Linked DNA regions of Coturnix japonica. The protein of the gene in region 2 purifies or fractionates together with the protein of the main gene of each other region. This does not show direct contact. Links are inferred from orthologs where the notes say so. Each region holds a gene or a part of one and is shown on either strand. Other genes may lie near its edges.

Region 1 (5,310 bases), on a different chromosome or scaffold from region 2:
ATATCTATTACCCTTTGAAACATTTGTATGACTAACAGCTCTCCATCCACAAGCCCTTCAACTGTCCTGCTCATTTGTCTTCCACCTTGCAGCTAGTAGCTAGTCAGGACATGGGTAGGTGTTTAGGACTGAGTCATAAATCTGTCTTACAGAGCAAAAGCCCACAGGTCAAAGGAAATGACAGTGGCAATTCAGAGCTGGGCTCTCTGCATGAAGAAGAGGAAGTTTCTGAAGCTGATAACCGAGAAAAGGAGATTCTCATTGATCGGATACAGTCAATAAAAGAAGAAAAGTAAGTCATAGCCTTAAAAACCCTGTTGTGCCCTTTGTGGTTGGTATAATACAGACAGCAAAGCACTATGCTTTTTGTCCAAAACTATCTACAGTTAGTTCATTATGTTCTACAGGCCTTTATGAAGGTGAAAATGTAAAAGCCAGGATGAGAGAAAATACTTTGAGAATTATTATTTAATGACTATATGCAGGAAGGTTTACCTCTGATAGGAGCAACCTTAAGCAGCGTTTATTTCAGAAGTGCTCTTTCTGTCCTGATGTAGGGAAGACATAACATATCGGTTACCTGAGCTTGATCAGCGAGGCTCTGATGAGGAAAATGTAGACTCTGAGACCTCAGCAAGCACAGAGAGCCTGCTAGAAGAGAGAACGGGGCGGATGGATACCGAAGGTCAGTATTAAGGTAGTGTGTGCTTTTTTTATTCTACATATTTCACTGCATCGAGCCAGGTGACCAGATGCTACCTGGTCACACCTGCTTGTATCACGTTACATTCTTATGCATGCTTTCAGTGTATTGTTTCTTTAAAGGAATTACGATTTCTGGAGTCCAGTGCTGCGCTCAGAGCTCTGACGTGCCTGCCAAAGACATTTGCACAGTGCCTTCTCTTTTGCAAACCTCTTCAAGTTCTTTGTCTGCATCCCTGGCTTCAAGACGCAGATTGTCTTTTACACTGTCCAAGATTAAGGTGCCCCGTCGAACTCCAGTGATGCCAACAGCAAACATCAAACTTCCTCCTGGGATTTTCAAATGTACCGAATCTCAGGGCAAGGCTTCAGCTGATGAAGAGTCTCCAATAGTGGTGAGACGAAGGGAGCAGCCAGCAATACGAACTGATAAAGTCCACTCTATCTACATTGCACAAGGGTCTGCAATGACCCACCCTCAGGAACTTTTAGATGAATATGAACCAACAGCAAAAGTAAAACGGAGGTTTTCAGACCCTTATTCCCACCTTGTGTGTACGGAGAAGTGAAATACTGAAGCTGTCTGGATCTTTCTGAAGTTGACTTTAGATTTTTAAGGCTTTGAAGGCTGTGAACTTATTCATGAATGTACAGGTAAAGAAAAAATAGCGTCCCGTTTCTGCTGCCGTGCCTTCTTCCATTTGCCTTACAGTGGACTTTAATGGGACCAACAGTGAGTGTGGGTCAGTGTACGTTGCCTTAATTTTGTATGTTTTTATGACGACTTTGTGCGGTTTACAGAACTGTTCGTGTTGTAATAGCCTTAACTGAGACCAAATGTACAAAAATGTTCATTAATACATTGCACTTTTTAAAAAAATACACCAAAGTTTGTGTCTATTTATCGACGTTTATTATCTGCCTGTATCTGTGCTGTGTGGGGAGCCCCGCCTACAACGGCCGAGCGTCTCCATCACCTCCCGCCCCGCCCTAAGATGGCGCCGCCCGGAAGCGGTGCTGAGGTGGCTTCCGGTGCCGGCTGTTCGCAATGGCGGCGACGCGGCTGGAGCTGAATCTGATCCGGCTGCTGAGCCGGTGCGAGGCGCTGGCGGCGGAGCGGCGGGATCCCGAGGAGTGGCGGCTGGAGAAGGTGAGGGGCGGCCCGGCCTTGTGTTGGGGAGGGACTGGCCGGGAACAGCCCTCGGCCTTCAGCAGCATCATTCTGCTCCTCGGAATAAACAGAGGTAGCCCGGTGTCAGGGCGTTAAACCCCATTGCGCTGTCAGCCGTGCTGCGGCTTCTGCCGGGATTAATATTAATATCTATCCGCAATGCTGACTCCTTTCTCTCTCTCTCCTTTCTCTCTCAGTACGTGGCCGCCCTGGAGGACATGCTGCGGGAGCTGAAGAAGCAGTGCAGGTGAGGGCTGCCAGGATCACATCGTGGCGTTGGGGCCTCACTGCCCTATTAGTATAAAAACCTCCCTGTGTGATATCTTGGAGTTCTGATGGTTTTAAAACCATTCCCCCTTGTCCTGACACTGTCTGCAGCCTCACTTTAAGTACTGGGAGGCCACAGTGAGGTTTCCTCAGAGCCTTACTTCCTTCACCATACTTTGTGCTCTCTGGTGTCACCGTGGCCCTCCTGTGGATGTATTCCAGAAGTTACATGTCTTTCCTGTGCTGGAGGATACAGTCCTCCAAATGGGGCCTCACAGGAGCAGAGCAGTGGGAGACAATTCCCTCCATGCCCTGAGCCACCCCTCCCATCCCCCATTGATGCAGCCCAAGATGCCGTTGGCCCTTCAGGCTGTAAGCACACACTGCTGGTCTGCATTCAGTTTGTCATCTACCAGCACCCACAGCTCCTCGGTAGGGCCGCTGTTAGAGCGTTCTTCACCCAGTCTGTTCACGTATCTGGGGTTGCACTGACCCGAGTGCATCAGGCAGTTGCACAGCTGTGCCATGTTCACATACACGCTTCATTCTCCTTGTCAGCCTCGGCTCTGCACAGTGTTCCTCTGCTTGGCTGTGTCCTGAGCTGCTGCAGTCACAGTGCCTCGGCAAGGTGGTTTGAGGGGGTGCAGGTATGCTCCCAACTTGAGTCTATTTCTTTCTTGAAAAAGCCCACGTTGATTAATTTGATTTGAAGACTTTTCTAAACAATGGAAATTGGTAATGCTTTACTGCTTTTCACATGTTTTTTTTTCCCAATTCTAATAGCAAGCCTGCCCCAGAACTGCTCAATGAATACACACGTAAAGTAGACTTTCTAAAGGGACTTCTGGAAGCTGAAAAACTGGTAAGATATGTTAGTTTACCTTGGAAAAACTTAAGAGATATTCTCCTCTTAAACTCTCCTTGTTGCCTTGTTCCTACGCTTGCTTTTATCTTACATCCCAAGATAACACTTGTTAAAATCTTATCAGGCAATTCTCGACAAGAGTGAATAAATATATTGTATTTTGTTGAAAGAGGGTATTGTGTGAAGTCTGAAACTTCTTCCTTCCTTCTCCAAGCTGTAGTTTGCAAAATTCCACAGCCATTCCAGCAGCTGTGGAAGTGCTCCCTAAATCCTCATTGGCCATACATCCAGGTGGCCTTACGCTACTGAATGATGTTTGTGACTCTTTCTCGTTGGTTCTTCTTACTTACAGTCTTCATCAACTGAAAAGGCACTGGCAAATCAGTTCTTAGCCCCTGGGCGTACTCCTACTACGATCAAGGAGAGAACCCCAGCTTCCAAAACGGTTCATCTGCAGACCAAGGCTCGTTGCACAGGCAAGATGAGGAGTGAGCTGCTTGGTACAGTATGTTCTGGTGCTGCTGCTTCTCTACTATTACTTTATAGATGGTCTCTTATGACATTTGGTTGCCTTTGGTGGCTGTGCCTCAGGTACATCCTAGGCTGGGGGTGGAGTCACCTTTTGTTTTTCCTATGGATAACCTAAATACTGGGCACAGGTGCCATACTGTGCATGGAGGCCCTTGAATCTGTGATTCCATGTGATTGTTCCTCATGAACCTTTTCACTGGCCCTTTGTAATCTTTTCTTTTGTTTCTCTTCCTGCCTCCCAGGATCCCTTGGCTCTCAGTGGTAAGTTCAATCTCCTTTTCTTTAATTGACCTGAATTTTATGAGTAAAGAAAGAGGAAAGTCAGGTGTTAGAGGTGTATTTCTAAATTACTGACTCACTTCTTGTCAAGATATAAGATATAAGATATAAAAGAAACACTGAATAGGTGAGAACATGAGCAGTGTTACCTGTACAGCAGAGGAGACTTGCAGGAATTCATGCTGAAACAGGTGTTTCAATTGTAGCATTAGCAAGGAGGGTTTGTGTTTGTCATTGCCAACGTTCTCTTCTGCTGTGAGCAAACCGTGTGATCTCAGGAGCTAACATACAGCCACGTTATTCACGTAGGGAACTGGTAGGATTTAATTTGTGGTTTCCATAGCTACTGTAACAGTGGCTGGAATGAGGCCAGTCTGAGTGTCCTGGAAGAGAACAGCACAGCCCATGGGCGAAGCCGAGCCCTCAGGGAAGTGATTCATCTCAGGTGTTTTATTCTCCCAACCAAACGTTTGCTGTTATGTACTGTCTTTTCCTGGTGGAAAACAGACGTTTGAAATCCACGTTCCCTGGTGTAGAACCAGGCCAACTGGGATTACATCTCTGGGAAAGAAAATCTTTCAAGGAACTTGTTTTATCAGCCTGTGATTGTGCAGTGTTGAGTAATATGCTAAAACAGCATTTATTTTTGTTCCAGATTCTGAGGAGCTGAATGTAAGGAAGCGGAAGTAAGTCAGAATTCCTTATTTTGATGCTCCGTGCCTTGGGACTGCCTTTCCCAATGACCTTAAATCACAGATACGTTCCCATTTGGGTGAAGTGCGTGTTGTTCTGTCAGAGTTGTACAACCTGAGCTGACCTCCCAGTGGTTCCCCATAAGTACAAATCCCTATTCTTCTTTCCTTGTGCTCTTGCAGAGGCCTTGTGTCTGATGAGAAGCAGTCAGCAGTGGAGCTGGATGCTGTGTTACAGCACCATCAAGACATGCAGGAGAAGTTAGCGGAGGAAATGCTGAGTTTGGCTCGCAGTCTCAAAAACAACACTTTGGCTGCTCAGAACGTGATAAAGCAAGACAACCAGGTAGCGTGTGTGACAATGCTGAACTCTTCAGTTGCAATCTAGGAGGTTAAGTCGCTCATATGTAAGAAACAAAAGCTGAGACTTCCAGATGAGGTTAGAATGAGGGGAAATTTGCAGGCAGTGCCTGTCTGCTTCTGCCATGCAGCTGTGAACCTTTTCTCTGTTGGAAGAACTGGTGATGAGAGCTTTTGAATTCAGAATTGAAGGTGTTCTGTCTGTAAATTATGTGTTTGAGACTGCTGGTGCTTCACTTTGACAACTGGAACTCTTTAAAATGAATTTATTTGTTAGGACCTTGTTTTTTTCACAACTTACCTACAGGTAGTGCAGTCATCCCCATGAGATAAGGGAGTCCTTACTGCTCAGGCTGTCAGCAGCATTTGATCTCAGTCCTGGGAAGGCTTGAGCACATTTTACCCTTCATGTACCCCTGCTGATACTGATGAAGGTATCAAAG
Region 2 (5,674 bases):
CATTTGAAAAAGTATAACTTAGAATACTGTTTTCTGCCTAGGAAATAGGAAAGGGAATCCCAGGTGCATGCAAATGACTACAGCATGCAGCCCCCAGTGAACACAGGGCAGAACTGAGTGTTCAGCATGATACAAGGGAGACGTCAGCATGAGTTCCATGACCTCAGCTATGGGACCAATTTATTAGAATTTGCCTCTCATTAAGAGCTAAAAAGTGAGCTGAAATATCACTTGCTGTTCAAAATTTGGCACAGTCATTAATTTCTAATAAGGACTGTAATTGGCTGTACCGTAAGCAATATATATTTCCCTGGCATCCAAATATTCTCTCGTGGGAGTTATTCTTATGTAGTAGTTAGAGCCAGAATGATCGTATAAACTAACCTGAGTAAAGCAGGTTTGGAGTTTTTCAGTCTGCTCCAGTATAAAACAGAAGAAATTAAAGTGTTCAGTGTTAACCAGTTTTGGCTTGCAGTGCTATTAGAGTCAGCCACTCAGCTACACATGGAGCAACTCAATGATGGCCATGCAGACTGACTTACCAGCTGTGTTCTGCCACACACTTTAATGTTAGTTCTCAGATATGGATGTTCTGGAGATTGTTTTCATAGAATCATAGAATTACCCAGGTTGGAAAAGACCTTGAAGATCAAGTCCAACAGCAGCCTAACCATAGTACCCTAACTCTAACAACCCTTTGCTAAATCATATCCCTGAGCACCATATCCAAACGGCTCTTAAACACATCCAAGGATGGCAATTCAACCTCCTCCCTGGGGAGCCTATTCCAGTACTTAAATACCCTCTCTGTAAAGAAGTGCTTCCTAATATCCAACCTAAACTTGCCCTGGTGCAACTTGAGGCCATATTCAGGTTTTATTGAGGTTTTATTCAGGGCTATTCTAGACCTGGCAACTGCATGTCCTATCCTATTAAAAAGGTTAATACAGTAAGCAGGTCTTTTCCAATCTTGGTGATTCTTTGATTCGGGTTATTTTATTTTTTTAACTGACATTTTCAACAAGAAAAGAAGGAATACTTGATCCAGTAATTAACTGGAAATTGGCAGGTGGTCTTGAAAAATACAATATTGTTGGATTATTAAAGATGTTTGTATAACTGAAAAAAGTCTGAGTGCTAATACTGACATTCTGGTTTCTCTGGCAAGAGAACAAAGCAGACCCAGCTTTCACTTGACTGTCTCCTTTTCACATGTAAAGGCAAATTAAACAGTGCTATAACTGGGGCTGTGTGTTAGTTGCTAGTAGGGACCAGGCTAGTAGGCACCACATTTTTCTCCACTGTTTTTAGCATTTTGAATATTTCTTGGTCTTCTAAAAACTCAGATGTAATTCACTGTGTTCTGAAGCCACTAACTTGAACATGGGGATTTTTCCTGCTCATTATAGAGGACGAAACAGCACAACCAAACATATTCTTGATGTGAATATGGGCCTATTATATGGACTAAAAAATGAAATAAAATATAAAAGAATTGATCATTCTACAGAATACAGAGAAAGAAGTTATATGAAGAACAGATGTTGTAGCCCCACGAATCTGGCATTCTTACGCGTTCAACAGCTTCAATCACAGACATTCTATCATTCTGAAATCCTGCATTTAAAGGCTCAGAAACTATTAACCTTTCAAATTTTCCCTTCTCAAGGACATGCTTTCAGATACTGCTTTTGAAGAATTTAACTTGTAGCACTTAAATTTTCTAGCTGTTTGCAAGAACATTAAAAACCAGATAATCTCCCTAACAAAACAGAAAAAAAAAAAAGTAATAACTTTTGGTTGGAATCAAGCCCGTTGTGAGATTCAGCTTTGCCACTCATTGCATTTCTCTTAATAAGCAGTATCAACCTTAATTTCATTTCTGTAACACATACTGAACAGTCAGCAGTGATTAAATCTCATCCCTTCAATATTCTCAAATAAGTATATATTTGACAGATGATCTTCCTAATAGCTTGTACTTGCCATAAAAAGTAAAGCAGATGGCTTAAATAAGATTGTCTAAGACAGTGCAAGTGCCAACCTGTTGGTATAAGACTACGGTAAAGCTGAGAACAAGTGTCACATAAGCTGGTCCTATGTGATATCTGTACTGGTTATATATTGGTATCAAATCAGATACCAAAACCAAGTTATTATGCAAGTCTATAGAAGTGTGATTGAAACAATCTTTAATACCCACATTCACTGAATGCAAAATTGTTCTGTCAAACTATTAGTCCAAGGACAATAACCAAAATTGTTTTTGTTGACCAAAATGCACTAATACCCAAACAGTAAATTCTAACAGCATTTCATAAATGTGAAGCAATGGAACGTCCATCACTGTATCATTGGTTTCTTAAGGGCCAAAGGTTCCTTGCCATCCCTTGCTCAGCCCTACACTAGCACGTGTGTTCTGGAAGTCTGTCTCCTCATAGAGAATCACAGAGCACACTGAGCAGGCTGTTCCTCCCAGCTTTTCCAAATCACAGAATGCCTTAGGTTGGAAGAGACCTTAAAGATCACCCAGCTCCAATCCCCTCCCCATCCATGGGCAGGGCTGACACCCACTTGAGCAGGCAGCCCAGCCAACCTGGCCTTGAACCCCTCCAATGTGCATTCCAGTGCCTGATTAAGGGCCTTACTCAAACCGTGCTCTGACACCACTATCCCCCCTCCGCACCCTTTGCTCAGTACGGGGGTAAAGAACCTGCAACAAGTTTACAATCATACTTAGTAATATTATTAACGCTGATCAGCCTCCAATTCAGCAATTCCTTCGCCTCTCAGTGCTTGTCTCTCCAAGCTGTATGACACCCCAGTTCATACGGACCCGGCATATACGGACCCGCCATACCGTGTGACACAAGAAACAGATGTGCAATAAGGCACAACTCGGCACTACAAAGACTCGCCCACTCGTTCCGGAGCCGACCTACATGGCAGCCCAGGGCTCGTGGGCACCGAGGGGACGCGGCCATGGAAGCCCGGATCCCCAGCCTGGAGTTACGGGAGCCGGGTGCGGGGGGTGGGGCTGGGATCCCTCCGGCCGCCACATCAGCTCCGGCTCCCGGCCCACATCCGCCTGGGGCCAGCGCTGCCCCGACTCTCTCTGCGGCCCTTCAGGAGCCACTCTCTCGCCCCGGCTCCCCGGGGAGGGCTGCCCGCCGCCTTCCCCCTGCCCCGGCCGCCCGCTGCCCGCACTCACCACCTCCCGTGCCCGCCCGGTGAAGTCGCTCCTAGAGCGGGCAGCGCTGCGCTTGAGCAGCTCATCCCGAGCGCTGTCGCCAGCCGCCACCCCCAGCGCCTTATTGCGGGTCTTCACCGTCTTCACGCTGGCTTTGAAGAGCAGGGTGATGTCCACCGCCATGGCGGCCAGCCCGGCCCCGTCCACCGGTGCCTCCGCGTTTTGCCTTCCCCGAGCAACGCGGCCCCGCGCAGCGCGTTCCGCTCGGTCGGCTCCAGGGATGGGTGCGGTGGGAAGGGAGCATCGCGGTGTTGCTGTGCGGGGATCCTGCTCTGCTGCCTCCCATCGCGGAGCGAAAGATTGAGGAATAAAATCTATATTCCAGCCAAATTCTGACGTGTGGATCGCCGAGCTGTGGTGTCGCGGCAGGTGTCACCAGGTGGTGCTGTTAGACAGAGTCATCCAAGCCGTCGGCCTTGGAATTCAGTCTAGGAAAGAAGGGTTAATTGGAGTTGATTAATGGGCTTCAGCAGGTTTGCACCAGGGGATGGGTTTTGTGCTGCTGTGAAATTTCCATTGGAGATGGCCGTACGTGTATTAATATATTGATTATTGGTTATTTCATAGAATCATTGAGGTTGGAAAGGACCCTTAAAGGCCATCTAGTCCAGCTCCCCTGCAATGAACAGAGACACCTACAGCTCCATCAAGTTGCTCAGAGCCTGTTCCAGCCTGAGCTTAAGTGTCCCCAGGGATGGGACAGCCACCACATTTCTGGGCAACCTCTACCAGTGCCTGACCACCCTCACTGTAAAAGATTTTTTCCCTATATCCAATCTAAATCTCCCTTATTTTAGTTTGAAATCATTTCCCCTTGTTCTTTCACAACAGATACTGCTAAAGAGTCTGTCTCCTTTCTTACAGCTCCCATTTAGATACTGACAGGCCACCCTCAGGTCTCCCCCAGGGCCTTCTCTTCTATAGGCTGAACAGCCCCAGCTCTCTCAGCCTGTCCTCATGTGTTCATGTAGGCCCACAGCTTGAGTCTTTCTGGGTCTCTCTGGAGTGCTATGTTTCTTCTTGAACACAATAGATAGAACAACTTCAATACACCTGTAATGTGTGTAGTGATTTCTGTGCCTGTTAAGGCCCTTGAGATCTACTGCCATTCCACATTTGGTCAGTATCACTGGTACTCCAAGGACAAACCCTGCAGGGAGCTACAATGCACAGCTATTATTAATTTGACTGAATCAGAGGAAAGCTTTCTGAAATACCCTTTGCTATTATTTTAGTTGTGGCAATTTCATTACCATGTGCTGTGCAGAAGATAAGTGACTGGAAAGGAAACTGTGTGGCACAGCAGTGAAAACTTCTGACCAAATAACTAGTGGTGGTAGTGAGTGTATGCTATATTATACTTTAGGATCCCACAGACTTTGCATGATTTTAACTGCTCTCACTGATTGAAAGTAACCTCCCTGAGAGAGTCTCCAAAGAAAAAAGAATAAAAATCCTGCCTTTCCCCATCAGTCTGGAATTTAACCAGCTCCTGCTCCAGAATATCAAGACTTCTGCTGATAATTACTACATTGCTTTCAGTTCACTTCAGTCTCAGCAATAGATTGTGAGTTCCTTCATAGCTGCATTGTGATTAGTATTCATTCACACTCCGTTCTTGTTGTTCTATTCTAAATCATGTTTTATTGCTCTATGGATATGCATTTCTAATTAAACATACAGTTGTTAAGACATTATCCTCGGTGCTGGATTTACCATGAAATATATTTAAGTATTAGCAAGTGTACAGCCAAAGAGGTTAAGATTTCCATTCCAGGAAAGCCAGGAGGATTGGACATCCAGCCAGATGTCTCTGCTCTTTCAAGATTAACTTTTAACTAAAGACATATTTTATAAAGATAAGATTTAGACAAAATAAATCAGATATTCAGGTATATTTCCAGAAATTGGTTTTCTCTTTCCCTTTGTATTACACAAAACAAATTAAGCACACAAGAGAAAATTCCAGGAATATGTCATGGATTGCATTGATACCCACAGTCTGTAATTCACTTGTGAATTTCTGCATGTTTACTAATGCTGTGTTACAACAGAACAGAACAAACTAGGATAGGATAGAATAGAATAGAGTAGTTATTTGAAAAGGACCTTTTGAAAGATCATCAGGTCAGACAGCCTGACTGCTTCAGGGCTAACCAAAAGCTGAGGCACATGGTCAAGACGAGGCCACATCAACACTAAATGTAGTGGGAGAATTGCCTCTTGACCAGCTGGTTACATGGTGTTTAATGCAGCCCAAAATGCAGCTCACTGCTGGCTCATGCAGGGCCCTTCCTACTGAGCTGCTCTCCAGCCATTTGTCTCCCATCTGTACTTCTGCCTGGCACTGCACCATCCTACGTGCAGAACTTGGCATTTACCTCAGCTGAACTTCATGCTGTTGATCAATACGTGTTAGAGCAG

The links. Proteins that work in one complex are often made in the same cells at the same time.
Region 1: the proteins of STX18 (region 2) and USE1 purify together in Homo sapiens (co-immunoprecipitation; 4 studies listed by BioGRID and IntAct, counting the BioPlex papers as one, with this or other methods). This does not show direct contact. The link is inferred for Coturnix japonica from reciprocal best matches to the Homo sapiens genes STX18 and USE1.

The regions. Positions count from the first base shown.
Region 1 is NC_029543.1:3,206,770-3,212,079, reverse strand, and holds the start of USE1 (vesicle transport protein USE1), read left to right. Parts: upstream 1-1,696; 5' UTR 1,697-1,750; coding exon 1,751-1,852; intron 1,853-2,070; coding exon 2,071-2,120; intron 2,121-2,923; coding exon 2,924-3,002; intron 3,003-3,357; coding exon 3,358-3,510; intron 3,511-3,778; coding exon 3,779-3,797; intron 3,798-4,470; coding exon 4,471-4,501; intron 4,502-4,690; coding exon 4,691-4,853; intron 4,854-5,310. Other genes in the region: MYO9B (unconventional myosin-IXb), read left to right, coding at 153-292, 558-685, 826-1,271.
Region 2 is NC_029519.1:71,389,709-71,395,382, forward strand, and holds the start of STX18 (syntaxin-18), read right to left. Parts: upstream 3,436-5,674; 5' UTR 3,374-3,435; coding exon 3,212-3,373; intron 1-3,211. UniProt on the Homo sapiens protein: Syntaxin that may be involved in targeting and fusion of Golgi-derived retrograde transport vesicles with the ER.